2 linked regions of the Neodiprion lecontei genome follow. The protein of the gene in region 1 purifies or fractionates together with the protein of each later gene. This does not show direct contact. Links are inferred from orthologs where the notes say so. Each region holds a gene or a part of one and is shown on either strand. Other genes may lie near its edges.

Region 1 (6,746 bases):
CCTCAATTCGTCATTGTCAAGGCGAGGCTAAATCGAACGATGTACTTTTTTAAAAAACTTACTCGACGGAAGCACTGAAGCACTCAAAGTTGAGTGCAGCTCTGTAGCCTGCCTTTTGAAAAAGAGGGCAATAGTAGATGAACTGCAGTTTGCACTGAAATTCGCAAATTATTATAGAAAACTCTCACCATATCAATCACGCGCCAACAATGCCACAGTACAGTCAGAATAGAACTGGAGTAGGATCAGTGACACGTTTCGTCGTTCCAAACGATCGGCATCGCGTAAAATTTTATCGATACAGTGGACGGATGAACTTTGTCAAAACAGCATAAAATGTTCGGAGTAAAAATTCTTGATAGTATCAGGAAAAGTTTCGAGATATAGGCCAAGCATTTGCGAATGTTTGACAAAGTACTATAAATGTCAAGTACCGAGTAACAATGTAGATTCGCTCCGATTGCGAATGAAAACCGAAAATTTATGAATGAAGTGTAATACAGCTGGGTGGGTCGATAGAGCCCCCCTACGTCGTAGTAATCAATACAGGGGGTTGGGTAGGCGTCGAGGGTACAGGGATGGCAAAGTCCATTCAGTAGAAGCTGTAGGCTTGCTATTGATTACGTGGGTGGAAAAAACAGACTCCCTTCTCCGCAGCACCGCGCCTTCGCCTCCCTTCCGCCGACCCCAGGCCGTGGTGGAGGTAGCGTCAGGTCAAGTGGTGGGGATCGTAGTGCATCTGAGTGGGGGTGTTCAGGGGAGGAAAAACATCCCCTCGCCAAGAACTCCAAAAACCAGAGGGAGCCGTTGACGTTGTCGGCATTGGAGGAGCCGGAGGACCCTGCACCCACTCTAGGCCCCACGGGGGCGAAGTAGCTGGGTCGTCTAGGGCGGAGAGGGTGCCGCGGCGTTATCTTCGAATCACGACAAAGGTGCCTTGAGCGAGGTTTCATTCAATTTTGGCCAGTCATTACATTTCCCCGAACGTTCCGTTTCTTGTGCCACCCACGGATTAGCTCGGCGCTATTAAATATTAATGAGATGTAAGAAAACTCCGGCCAATTCATCCATTCACGCTCCTTGGGATCGTTTCTTCAACCCGTCTTCTGCTCCCACCCTGCGGTTCTTACCCGCCTTTTGCAGCTCATTTCTTTTGCCGCCAACCATCAGGAACTCTTCAATGAACGGCGAACAATGAATATCGGGAAAGCTTGTTACAGACAGAAGACGGACGAGACTGATAACTTGTCGCTAACTGTCCGATGCTTTATAATTAGCCTCGAGTACGAAGACCCCTCGTTTCCTTTTTTGCTTAATCAGAAATCATTGTTCCAGCCTCCCATTATTCTTCTTGATTCGATCGTGCAGTTAGGTAACTCTTTTAGAACATTCAGGCAGAATCTGAATTCAAGTCCGATGATGAGAAGTGAAACCTATTGTTGAGATTCTCACCCACAACTGCTGGAGCTGGACGATGCATAGAGGTTAAAGCACATCTCGCCTCAACCGCCTCAACGAATTAACAAGTCGCTGATTTACTAAACTTTTGATCGGCATGGCGTGTTCGCTTGCAAGCGTAAGGATAATTTTGTAGCAAATTAATAAATTTCAACATCGGTGCAAGGAAATGCTCGTATCAGATTTTTGCTCCCGGCAATTCTATAAAGTCCAAGTTCTTGATACGTACAAATATTGTTTCTTTTACCGATAAAACAGTCTCCTGATGTTGTATCGAATGAGACTACAGACGCCATCTATTGGCTGATGCCTGAAGCGGGCAGGCAGCGTCATCATCTTTTGACTGGAACCAGTGTCTGCCATTTCCGTAATCCATGGTCCTTGTGCCGCTGCTGCTGATAGTGCAAATATGGCGGCCACACAAAGCATTTGTAACAACAGTGCGTATTAATATCACAGTCAACAAATAACGGGGTTAGAACAGTCAGAGTTTGGAAGTGGAATGAAGTGCTGACGACAAATCACCTCGGTACAGACTGTTAATAAACGATTAATTTCCCTTAATTATATAACGCGATTCCCCGAATCGAGGATAAAATCGTCGTCGCCCTGCTAGTGCTGCGTATTATATCTATGTATTCATATATTTCAATAAAAAGTAATTGATGTTCGTTCCTAGTACTGTGCAGTCGTGATTTCGTTTCGCGATTCGGTCGTTAGGTATGACCTTCGCATCTTTTCGCCCCAGCAATAAACTGGCATTTGGAAATTCGACGAGGCGGTGAAACTGCGGACCGAGTTGAGTTACTCTGCTTATCGCACGCGAAGTATTTCTCCCGTTTTGTTCGCCCGTCGCTTTCGCGGCCGTCCATCATGACGATTTTGGCGAAAAAGAAACCCAACGGTACGAAGGACAGACGCGAGCCTGGCAACGGAGCCGAGGTTGATGTACACGGGGTTCAAGTCGAGCATGGAGCTGGTCCGATCGCCTTGCAGTCCAACAGTTCTTATCAGGTAATTAGAGAGACAATTTATGGTTAGAAACATCGCATTCGTTCCCAACCACGTTCGAAGGTTGAGAGAGAAGGAATAGAAAAATTTCACGTCCAGCAGTGGTCACTCATGGTAATCCATTACGTGTGACAATTGGTCTGAAATTAGAAATAAATGCTAATCAGTGTCGAAGGAAATTTTTGCATATAGATTTGACATCTACATTATTTGTTAATTGCGGATTGTGTAATTCCTGAAGTATTCATTTTCACAATATTGTAATGATTTGCCAATAAGCGACCTCTGAACAACACTTCTTTTGTTCCTCACGACATCTATATTTACCATTTGGATGAATGGTTTATCTATTATCTATCCTATGTATCTAGAGTTCAGATAATTGTTTTACTGGTAAACTGGTTTGTACCGATTGATAGATCATCAGCAAACATGCTTGCCTAGGAGAAGGAATCCTCTTTATCGTTGGCTGAAACACTGCGATGAAATCTAAGCTCTGCTTTCTACAGTCTGTTGCTAACATTTCCTATCTATTTCAACTAACGATACTTGTTAATCTTTAATTTTTCAATTCACTGAATTTCACATTTACGATTTTGCTAATCAAAGTTGTTCGTATCACCGATCTCTTATTACAGACTAGTGTTGATCGCCGGGAAGAAAAGCACTTTGAGGAGGCTAGTGGATCAAGCCATGGGAAACGTCATCGCCAACGTGCGAGTCCTCACAGGTATCTAATTTTCTCACCTTGTTATAAAGATAAACTAGCTCGATTGTTTCTCACCTTCCAAATCATCTTTATAATTGCTTGGTCATACTACAACAGCTGCATTGGCAGAACGTCCCGGTCTAAACGTGAAAGAGAACGAGACAGGGGTCGAGAGAGAGAAAGAGAGCGGGAAAGGCAAGCGACTCCACCAACGGCATCATGCAGTGGGCTGCAAGGTGAGAATTGCTCAATGAACTTGTAATGAAATTGTTCAATTGTGATTTTTTTGTTACAACGGTATTATTCATATACCTGAATTTATCATTTGCATACATCCGTAATCCTAGAAATAAAGAAGGAATCACCTTGCCACTAATTATTCTTCAAATTCTAACACTCTAATATTTGCCATTTTTTTAGGTACAGATGCTAATGTTATTGGAAACAACCGTATGGCAATAGTAGCTGGTGCTCCGAGCCTTGAGCCAGAATTAGCAAATGGCTATAACAGTGGGGATGAGTACACAGGTCGCACTGGAAACAATTTGACCATTGCGGAATGGCAAGAGGTTAGTGTTAGCTGCCATTAAAAGAGTAAAAAATAATTACTTGCTACTTCTATTTACAATGAATTTTCAGCGTGACCGATGGTTTGAAAAACGGATGCGGAAGATGGGGTTCGTGGTTAAAAAAATGGGTGAAGACGGAGCATGTCTTTTTAGAGCTGTCGCCGACCAGGTTTACGGTGATCAAGAGATGCACAGTGTCGTACGAAAGCATTGCATGGATTATATTGTGAGTAATTCACAATGATTTCGAGCTTTGTCATACAAAGAACTCGATATCAATAATGTTTACTATAGTGAAGGACCATTTTATTTCAGGCTGCCAATCAGGAATTTTTTTCCCACTTTGTTGCCGAGGATTTCTCTACTTACGTGGACAGAAAACGACAAGAATACGTCCACGGTAATCATATAGAGATGCAGGCAATGTCAGAGATGTACAATCGTAGCGTTGAGCTATTTTGCTACGGAACAGGTAAGCGATTCGATGATGTTGACAAAAGGCTATTTGGTAGAAGATATGTCTTCCATACTATACAAAATCACATGAAAATACTGTTGAATATAATTGACAAAGACGTTTTTCCTTTCGCTTCAATGAAACACAAAAGAACCGATCAACATTTTTCACGGGGTACACAAAAGCGACAACGAACCGATTCGGTTGTCGTATCAACGCGGCAGTCACTACAACAGCATCGTAAACCCCTATAAAGCAACAATCGGCGTCGGACTAGGTTTGCCCTCGTACAATCCCGGAGCGGCGGATCGTGCTCTCGTTTCTGATGCGGTTCGACAGAGCGAAGAACTGCATATTGAACAGGTTAGAAATTCTACGTTCGTTATTTTATTTATCGATCATTATTTCGGGAAAGTATGACTAATCCATCCTTATTTCTCGGTGACACAGACCATGCTTGAAGACAAGATAAAAGCCACCGATTGGGAGGCTACCAATGAAGCAATCGAAGAACAAGTCGCGAGAGAGAGTTACTTGCAGTGGTTACGTGACAATGAAATGCGTAAAGCTGTAAGTATAATGCCGTCAGGTAACCATCATTGCATCTCATTGATTAACGGTGATCTACCTCTACCGAATGTCGAATCAATTTAATTTACTTACCATCAAGCAACGCAGTAACAAATATTTCACATGCATCTATCCGTTTGTTTCTTTTGTTTATTGTTTTTATACTCGAGTGCTCTCCGCTTACCTGACACAGCTCACACTGTCATCAGTTACTCTCAGCTTAGTAGCTTGACTTTTTGTTTAAGCGGTCAGCTAGCAGCAGCAGCACCAGCACAGTCACCAGTGCCCAGCATAGCCACAACCACTTCCACCCTCATGGTGGTCGTGGACAAACGCGTGGGCTAACATCCTCCCCAACAACGACGCAAGCTAATCAGGATTCTGTCCGAAATTCCCCCAAGGTGAGCTAGTGTGACTAACTTTTAGCAGGAGAGCAAGTCTTTACTAACCCAGAAAACGAGATAATTAGCCATCTTTGCTCTGCAGGAATGAAATATGAAAGATTTCTTACAAAACTTTTCCCCTCAGGTTGGTGACTCGATAAGGTACAGCAGCAAGCGTTCTCCGCAGCATCAATCCACCCAGGGACCAGGTATGCCTCACCTGTCGTCCGATTTTAGCGTCGCACCACCATCTCAAGAACCCGTCCCAGGGAGCAGCAAGGAGTCTCACACATCGCCTGACATATCGCTGTTTAATCGTCTCCCTCCTGAAGTTTTTGGTGAGAAAATTCTAGTGTTCGTAACCGAGTTTATAGAAGTTAAAAGACCGGATGAACAGAGCACGAGACTGTACCGATTGATTTTCCACAGGTTTGACCGACTGGGAAGACAGTGATATCCTATCCAAAGTCCTTGCGACTTCGCAGCAAGAATATCTGGACAGCTTAAAGCAGTCGCGGGTACAGTCGGGTTCGGGTAGTGATGGGAACGTCGTAGCTGACTCGAACAAGAGTTAATTTGACTAAAAAAATCGGCTGTTTTTCAAATTGAATATGAATGATAATCAGGCACATCAAGAAAGTTGAAGAGAGCGAGGGAGAGAGAGAGAGCGAAAGAAAAAAAGAGTCGCGTTAGTTTCCTGCGTGATGCCAATTACTACGACCACCTGTTTTATACACCTCCGGGATAAAAAATATGATTTTACAGGCATTCCGGTTTCGACACGTTGTGCCGTGTGAATGCACTCTCTCGTCACATCTTAATTGTTTGCCTTTAGATTATATTATTATAGTATAAAACAAGGCACATAGCCTAAATCACAGGCTGGATAGAACTTCGCTATTTATTTCTTTAAATATTCGTAATAGTTTATTTCATCTTTTTTTTCGTTATATAATATAATTATTAGCGAAATGCTTTGAATGAGAGATTTGGTTGCATCATTTGTAACAAAAAAAATAAATCACTTGAGAAAAAACATTTTCCAACACTGTAAATTTAACAAAGAATTTTTTGTAAAACTGTTCCGAAATTATTGTTAATTCCCCACGCATGATTACCTACTAAAATATTAGACACGCAATTGACGAACTGTACTAGAGCGTATAATTGAATAAATTATACGGACCTACGAGTACACAGTTGTTTACGCTTCAATATACGCTACATTATAGACACTTTATTTCTACATTAATGTTTCACATACAGCATTGAACAACAATGTGTTTGCACGCTTACACCTTTTCAACGTACGGCGGAATTTCGTTGTAGGTACGTCACCCGACAACTTGTCCTTAGGATGGCTCAACTACTACTATTTATTTTACTCCGAGCACAAATATAACCTCGTTTGGTAGAGAGAATACGGCTGTGTCTCGCGCAGCGACGAGTTCCCTCTCCCACAACAAAGTTCCACTGTACCTACGTATTATTATTATTGGATTACCGATCACTGTAATGTGAATCGATCAGTACCTCTTTTTTTCCTTTTGTCGCTCCATATTTTTTTCCCATATACGTGCGAAGTCGAA
Region 2 (5,414 bases), on another chromosome or scaffold:
CCCTGCTTTCAATATTGCCAACGTAACCATTGATATTGAACTATTTGATAGCCATGTCGATACTTCTGTAGTAACAGTTTCTAACAACTTATCAATTACTGCGTCCAATAGCTCTTTTGCTCGTATTTCTGGTGGCTTTTTACTAGTTTCATTGGCATCACCTTTTTTAAGTTGTTCGATTACTTTCGGGTGAAAATAATGTGAATCCCTTCTAGCAACAAGATATAGAATTACGCATCTGCCATATTCATTTGACGCAATTTCTGTCAGATCATTCAGCAATTCTGTCAATATCATTTTCTTCACGAGAACTGTGTCGTCAATGCAGTCAAACAAAGCTAATAACACCATATGACCATGCTCGTTTGTCGCCACATTCTTGACTTGATCTTTCAATGCCTTCATCGCAAGTTTTCTGTCTTTCTTTGTACCATGCCACAAACAAATCATTGCAGACTTAGCACCATCCTTTGTCTGAGATAATTCTGCAATCAAACTTCGGACCATAGTGATCATTTCATCTCTATCATCTTTGGTGCAATTCCTTAAGAATTCAAGCAACACAGAATGTACAAGGGAGGTGTTAATCAGCTTCTTATTTAGTATTTTTATCAAATTTCCTTTGACAGCTGAGAGAGTTGCAGATTTCATATCTCCTGCAAGCTTATAGACATCAGCAAGTGTTTTGATTTGACTGTCCTTGGCTAGTTTGTACATATCACCATAAAATTCTTGTTTAAAATATAATTTATCTGCATCGGTCGCCCAAGATGAATATGCAAGTTCAAGTACTGGTGCAGATACTGAATGGCTTGCTAGCCTAACTATATTGCCACTACACGCCGCAATTATCATAGCTCGAATTTCATCTGTCCCATGCTTCAACAATGTTTTGACACAATTCTTGGCATACTTCGACTGTAACATTAGAACAATACTTTTCTGTAATTCATCAGTAACATTTTTTCTTATCTCAGAAGTGCAGTACTTGAGAAGCCATTGAACAATCCTTGCCATGTCATGCATGAAGACAAGTTTACTAAATTGTCCCTTGAGTAATTCGTATAGCTGCGTTGTGAGCTCTACACGCTCTTCTTTAGAACAATCTGCTCTGCGTAATTTTTCACCAATCTTCTTAGCTTTGACGGTAACATCATACGCATTCGTCAGTCTTTTTTCCCTTCGTTTTTCCCGCAGTTCTTTCTTCTGTTTTTTAAACTCTAACCAATCTGGTTTCTCAGTTGTGTCTGTGCTACCATTTATAGATTTGTATTGAACCTGAGTTTGTAGTCTTTTCTTCTTATTATTAATCTTGTCAAACAATTTCTGTGACTTGTCTGCCTTGGCAGGTTTCTTTGCAGCAGTTGGTTTTTGGAATTTACCTTTTTTCTCCAAAGCGTCATTTTTTTGTGAGATGTTCACCTTCTTTAGCTTCGCATCTGAACTTTTTATGATATTCACTTTGGCAGTAGGGTCGACAGCCGTTTTAGCTTTTTTAATTATCGGTTTAAGGCTCACTGCTTCCTTTTCCCGGCGTTTCATGATGACGATTTTTACCTGTAACTTGAAAAGAAAAATTGTACGTAAAATTTATCTAGCGTAACGTATTGTTTCTACCTTTCTGATGCTTCTGCAAGTATTTCAAACATTTCGAACAACGTGCGTGCAAAACATAACCTATTAAAGACGACACCGATTTATGAAAATTGAGTTTAAATTTTGGAAATACTTACTTCTCAGACTGAATTTCGAACAGCGTAAGCAAATCAGTAGTAATTATACTAAAGTCAGTGAATTATCGGATATTTATAAATTAATAAACCGCACCATAGAATCACTAAGCTAAGGTGTAAATTATTGCGCCAATGTACGATCACGTGGCGTGCACTTGGCTTTGCTTGGCTTTCTGAATTCTGGTAATAGGATTCACGAGGTAGCAGTTGCGTTGAGCTGCAGACACATTTCACGGTTAGTTACTTTCTGTCGCAGCGTGGCGCTGCGGCAATAAAATGACGCTAAATACTACCGCAAGGTTTCGCTACCCGTAAAAATGTACCCTACAGCGATGCGTGGCGCATGCAGAAAACTGTTTCCTTGGCAACTTTACGATCAGTCAACAGAGTTGTAAATCATGGCGGTAAGTGGAAATGCGTCGTAGATATTATGCATTTAAATTATTATTTTTCGCATAGAATTCGGCGAAAAGATTGATAAATTTGATATTTTCCTACTAGCTTATTGATTGAAGCTTACTCTGTAAATTCGTCTTTTCAAAAAACCTTCTTCTTCAAAACATAACCGTGTCGACATGCGGCGTTTGGCACGCGTGAACGGTAACCTACAAATTTGCGACGATCAACACAGTCTTCCGTCATTTCAATGTGATTCAATGCTAAATTTTATTGCAATCGTTTACTGCGGCATGTTTTAAAAATTGAAGATCACACTAACTATTCATTTGATCACATTTACCACTGACAATCCGTTGGTTGTTATTTTTTTATACTTAGATTAGACAACATTAAAGGTATCCAAGAACCAAATTCAGTAACAAAAAAAACTTTATTCCAGGCCGTCGCTGCAGCAAAGGTGCAAGAAGTTCGTGAGATCACTAGAATCGAGCGCATTGGCGCTCATTCTCACATTCGAGGTTTGGGACTGGATGACAGTTTAGAGCCGCGCAATGTAAGATTCACAATAATATATTATATTTGCAATGTATCCCAGCCTTGTATCAATAACTCGGAATTCAGCAAATATCATGTACAAATTTCGTTACAACAAAGATGAATTACTCGCAGGTTTCTCAAGGTATGGTGGGCCAGCTCATGGCTCGGAGAGCAGCAGGTGTTGTGCTCGAAATGATCAAGGATGGAAAGATCGCAGGACGAGCAATTTTGTTGGCTGGACAACCGGGCACTGGTAAAACTGCAATTGCGATGGGAATGGCCCAAGCTCTTGGTCTAGATACTCCGTTCACGTCAATGGCAGGCTCGGAGATTTATTCCTTAGAAATGGGTAAAACTGAAGCTTTAACTCAGGCGATACGAAAATCAATTGGAGTGAGAATCAAAGAGGAAACGGAAATTATCGAAGGGGAGGTAGTAGAGATTCAAGTTGACAGACCAGCTACCGGTGTTGGCGCTAAAGTAGGAAAGTTGACATTGAAAACAACCGAGATGGAAACCATTTACGATCTGGGCAATAAAATGATTGATAGCCTGATGAAGGAAAAGGTAAGTAAAGTGAAAACAGTTATAAATTATCGACAAAATTTAAATGAAAAATGTTTCCATTAAAGGTACAAGCTGGAGATGTTATAACGATTGATAAAGCCACTGGAAAAATTAACAGACTTGGCCGTTCGTTCACACGAGCTCGGGACTACGATGCGACGGGATCACAAACCCGTTTTGTTCAATGCCCAGAAGGAGAGCTCCAAAAACGAAAGGAAGTGGTACATACGGTTACTTTGCACGAAGTTGACGTTATTAACAGCAGAACTCACGGATTTTTGGCACTGTTTTCCGGAGATACGGGGGAAATAAAGTCTGAAGTACGGGATCAGATAAATGCTAAGGTTGCAGAATGGCGAGAAGAAGGAAAAGCTGAAATCGTACCTGGTGTTCTCTTCATTGATGAAGTACACATGCTGGATATCGAGTGCTTTTCATTCCTCAATAGAGCCCTTGAGAATGAAATGGCACCTGTCGTTATAATGGCCACTAATAGAGGTAGAGTTTTATATTTATTTAAGATTCAGTTTATTCTTACCCAAAGAAAATGTAATCGATAATTCCACTCCACCAGTGATTCCATTAACGGCATTTAATAATCGACAGGAATCACAAGGATTAGAGGTACGACTTACAAAAGCCCTCACGGTATACCGATTGATCTGTTGGATCGAATGATCATCGTGCCCACAAGTCCATATCAAGAAAAAGATCTTAAAGAAATTCTCAAAATTAGATGCGAGGAGGAGGATTGTGAGATGGCGGACGATGCTTTGACAGTATTGACGAGAATAGCCTTAGAGACGTCGCTTAGATACGCTATTCAGTTGATCACCACTGCGTCGCTTGTTAGTCGAAAGCGCAAAAGCACTGAGGTATGCGAATAAAATTATAAGTGTCGTCTTGTCAATTTGTACATACTTGATGTTCGTTGCAGGTCAATATTGATGATGTGAAACGTGTGTATTCCCTATTTCTTGACGAGAATAGATCTTCACAGTTCTTGAAAGAATACCAAGATGAATTCATGTTCAATGAATTGGGTAAGTTTTCTTACCATTAGATGTACCTACTTTTCGAATAATTCATTAATGGATTCAGACACGAAATATTTGATTCTGAGTGTAAACAACTACTTATTGTCCTTAGACACACACACACACACACACACACACACACACACACACACGCGCGCGCGCGCACACACACACACACACACACAAAATACTTATTATCAGATTGAGCTTCCACATACCTATGCTTGCAAACTGAAAGAAAATTGAAATATGAAATGAGAACCAATTTGATCATTTCCGTGTTTATATTGTATGTGCCGTTATGAAATGACTTTTTCTACTTGCGCAGAAGAACAAGCTATGGAAGTTGCGTAATAACTGACTGGATTCATCGAGTTTCTTTCTAAAGTTTGATGGAGTTGACAAAGTCGCACGTTCGGAGTTGAACAAAAAAATATAGATCTACCAACACAGGTATTGTAATTCCAGTACAATTCGCCGTTTCGCCGCGCTGGTTTTGTGTTATTTACCTTTATATGGCGTGCGAAACTTTGCTATCATCACGTACGAGCATACAAGTATATAAATAATTACACGACGGTTTATTATGAAATAATAAAAAATATAAAAAATATAATCTTGCATTTTTAAATAATCGTAGATTATACGTATATATTATTATCATTATTTTAATATAAAGCACTGGTTATAGTGTCTGTACCAACATTGGGCTGTGCAAATATTCGAGATTTTGTTCTACTTTTCTATATTCGTAATCTATTAGGTACGTACATAGTCTTATCAGTTACAAAAATGAAATGGGTTTAGAGTAGCCAATAGATCTTTGAAATGCGCAACAGAATATTATTACCTAATTTGTTCATTGCAAAACTTATGCGGATAAAATTGTTATTGATTTGAAAAAACCAATGTTTGTACAGAAAAATTAGTTTTTGGTGTAAAGCTTCTATTCCTCTATGATTAGACCCAACCTCGAAGTCAATTCAGGCATAATTGCACCAAAAACAAATGAAAAAAAACAATTTTATTATCATATTATTGATCCAACGCTAGTAAAACTTTTCAAGCTTTGGTTTGCAGTACTGAATCGATCGTTTTTCATTTATTCTATTTCCGTTTGGACAATACTTTTTTAGAACTG

Evidence for each region.
Region 2: the proteins of OTU domain-containing protein 5-A (region 1) and ruvB-like 2 purify together in Homo sapiens (affinity purification with mass spectrometry, with the first as the bait; 3 studies listed by BioGRID). This does not show direct contact. The link is inferred for Neodiprion lecontei from reciprocal best matches to the Homo sapiens genes OTUD5 and RUVBL2.

What each region holds. Positions count from the first base shown.
Region 1 is NC_060264.1:33,609,383-33,616,128, forward strand, and holds OTU domain-containing protein 5-A, read left to right. Parts: upstream 1-1,840; 5' UTR 1,841-1,987; intron 1,988-2,137; 5' UTR 2,138-2,331; coding exon 2,332-2,472; intron 2,473-3,107; coding exon 3,108-3,199; intron 3,200-3,295; coding exon 3,296-3,414; intron 3,415-3,598; coding exon 3,599-3,747; intron 3,748-3,817; coding exon 3,818-3,973; intron 3,974-4,062; coding exon 4,063-4,219; intron 4,220-4,355; coding exon 4,356-4,567; intron 4,568-4,654; coding exon 4,655-4,774; intron 4,775-5,019; coding exon 5,020-5,175; intron 5,176-5,302; coding exon 5,303-5,495; intron 5,496-5,586; coding exon 5,587-5,732; 3' UTR 5,733-6,212; downstream 6,213-6,746. UniProt on the Homo sapiens protein: Deubiquitinating enzyme that functions as a negative regulator of the innate immune system. Has peptidase activity towards 'Lys-48'- and 'Lys-63'-linked polyubiquitin chains. Can also cleave 'Lys-11'-linked ubiquitin chains (in vitro).
Region 2 is NC_060263.1:34,675,067-34,680,480, forward strand, and holds ruvB-like 2, read left to right. Parts: upstream 1-1,999; 5' UTR 2,000-2,131; coding exon 2,132-2,137; intron 2,138-2,571; coding exon 2,572-2,685; intron 2,686-2,801; coding exon 2,802-3,236; intron 3,237-3,301; coding exon 3,302-3,734; intron 3,735-3,774; exon of another isoform or gene 3,775-3,842; coding exon 3,843-4,111; intron 4,112-4,173; coding exon 4,174-4,279; intron 4,280-4,601; coding exon 4,602-4,627; 3' UTR 4,628-4,889; downstream 4,890-5,414. Other genes in the region: protein penguin, read right to left, coding at 1-1,542. UniProt on the Homo sapiens protein: Possesses single-stranded DNA-stimulated ATPase and ATP-dependent DNA helicase (5' to 3') activity; hexamerization is thought to be critical for ATP hydrolysis and adjacent subunits in the ring-like structure contribute to the ATPase activity.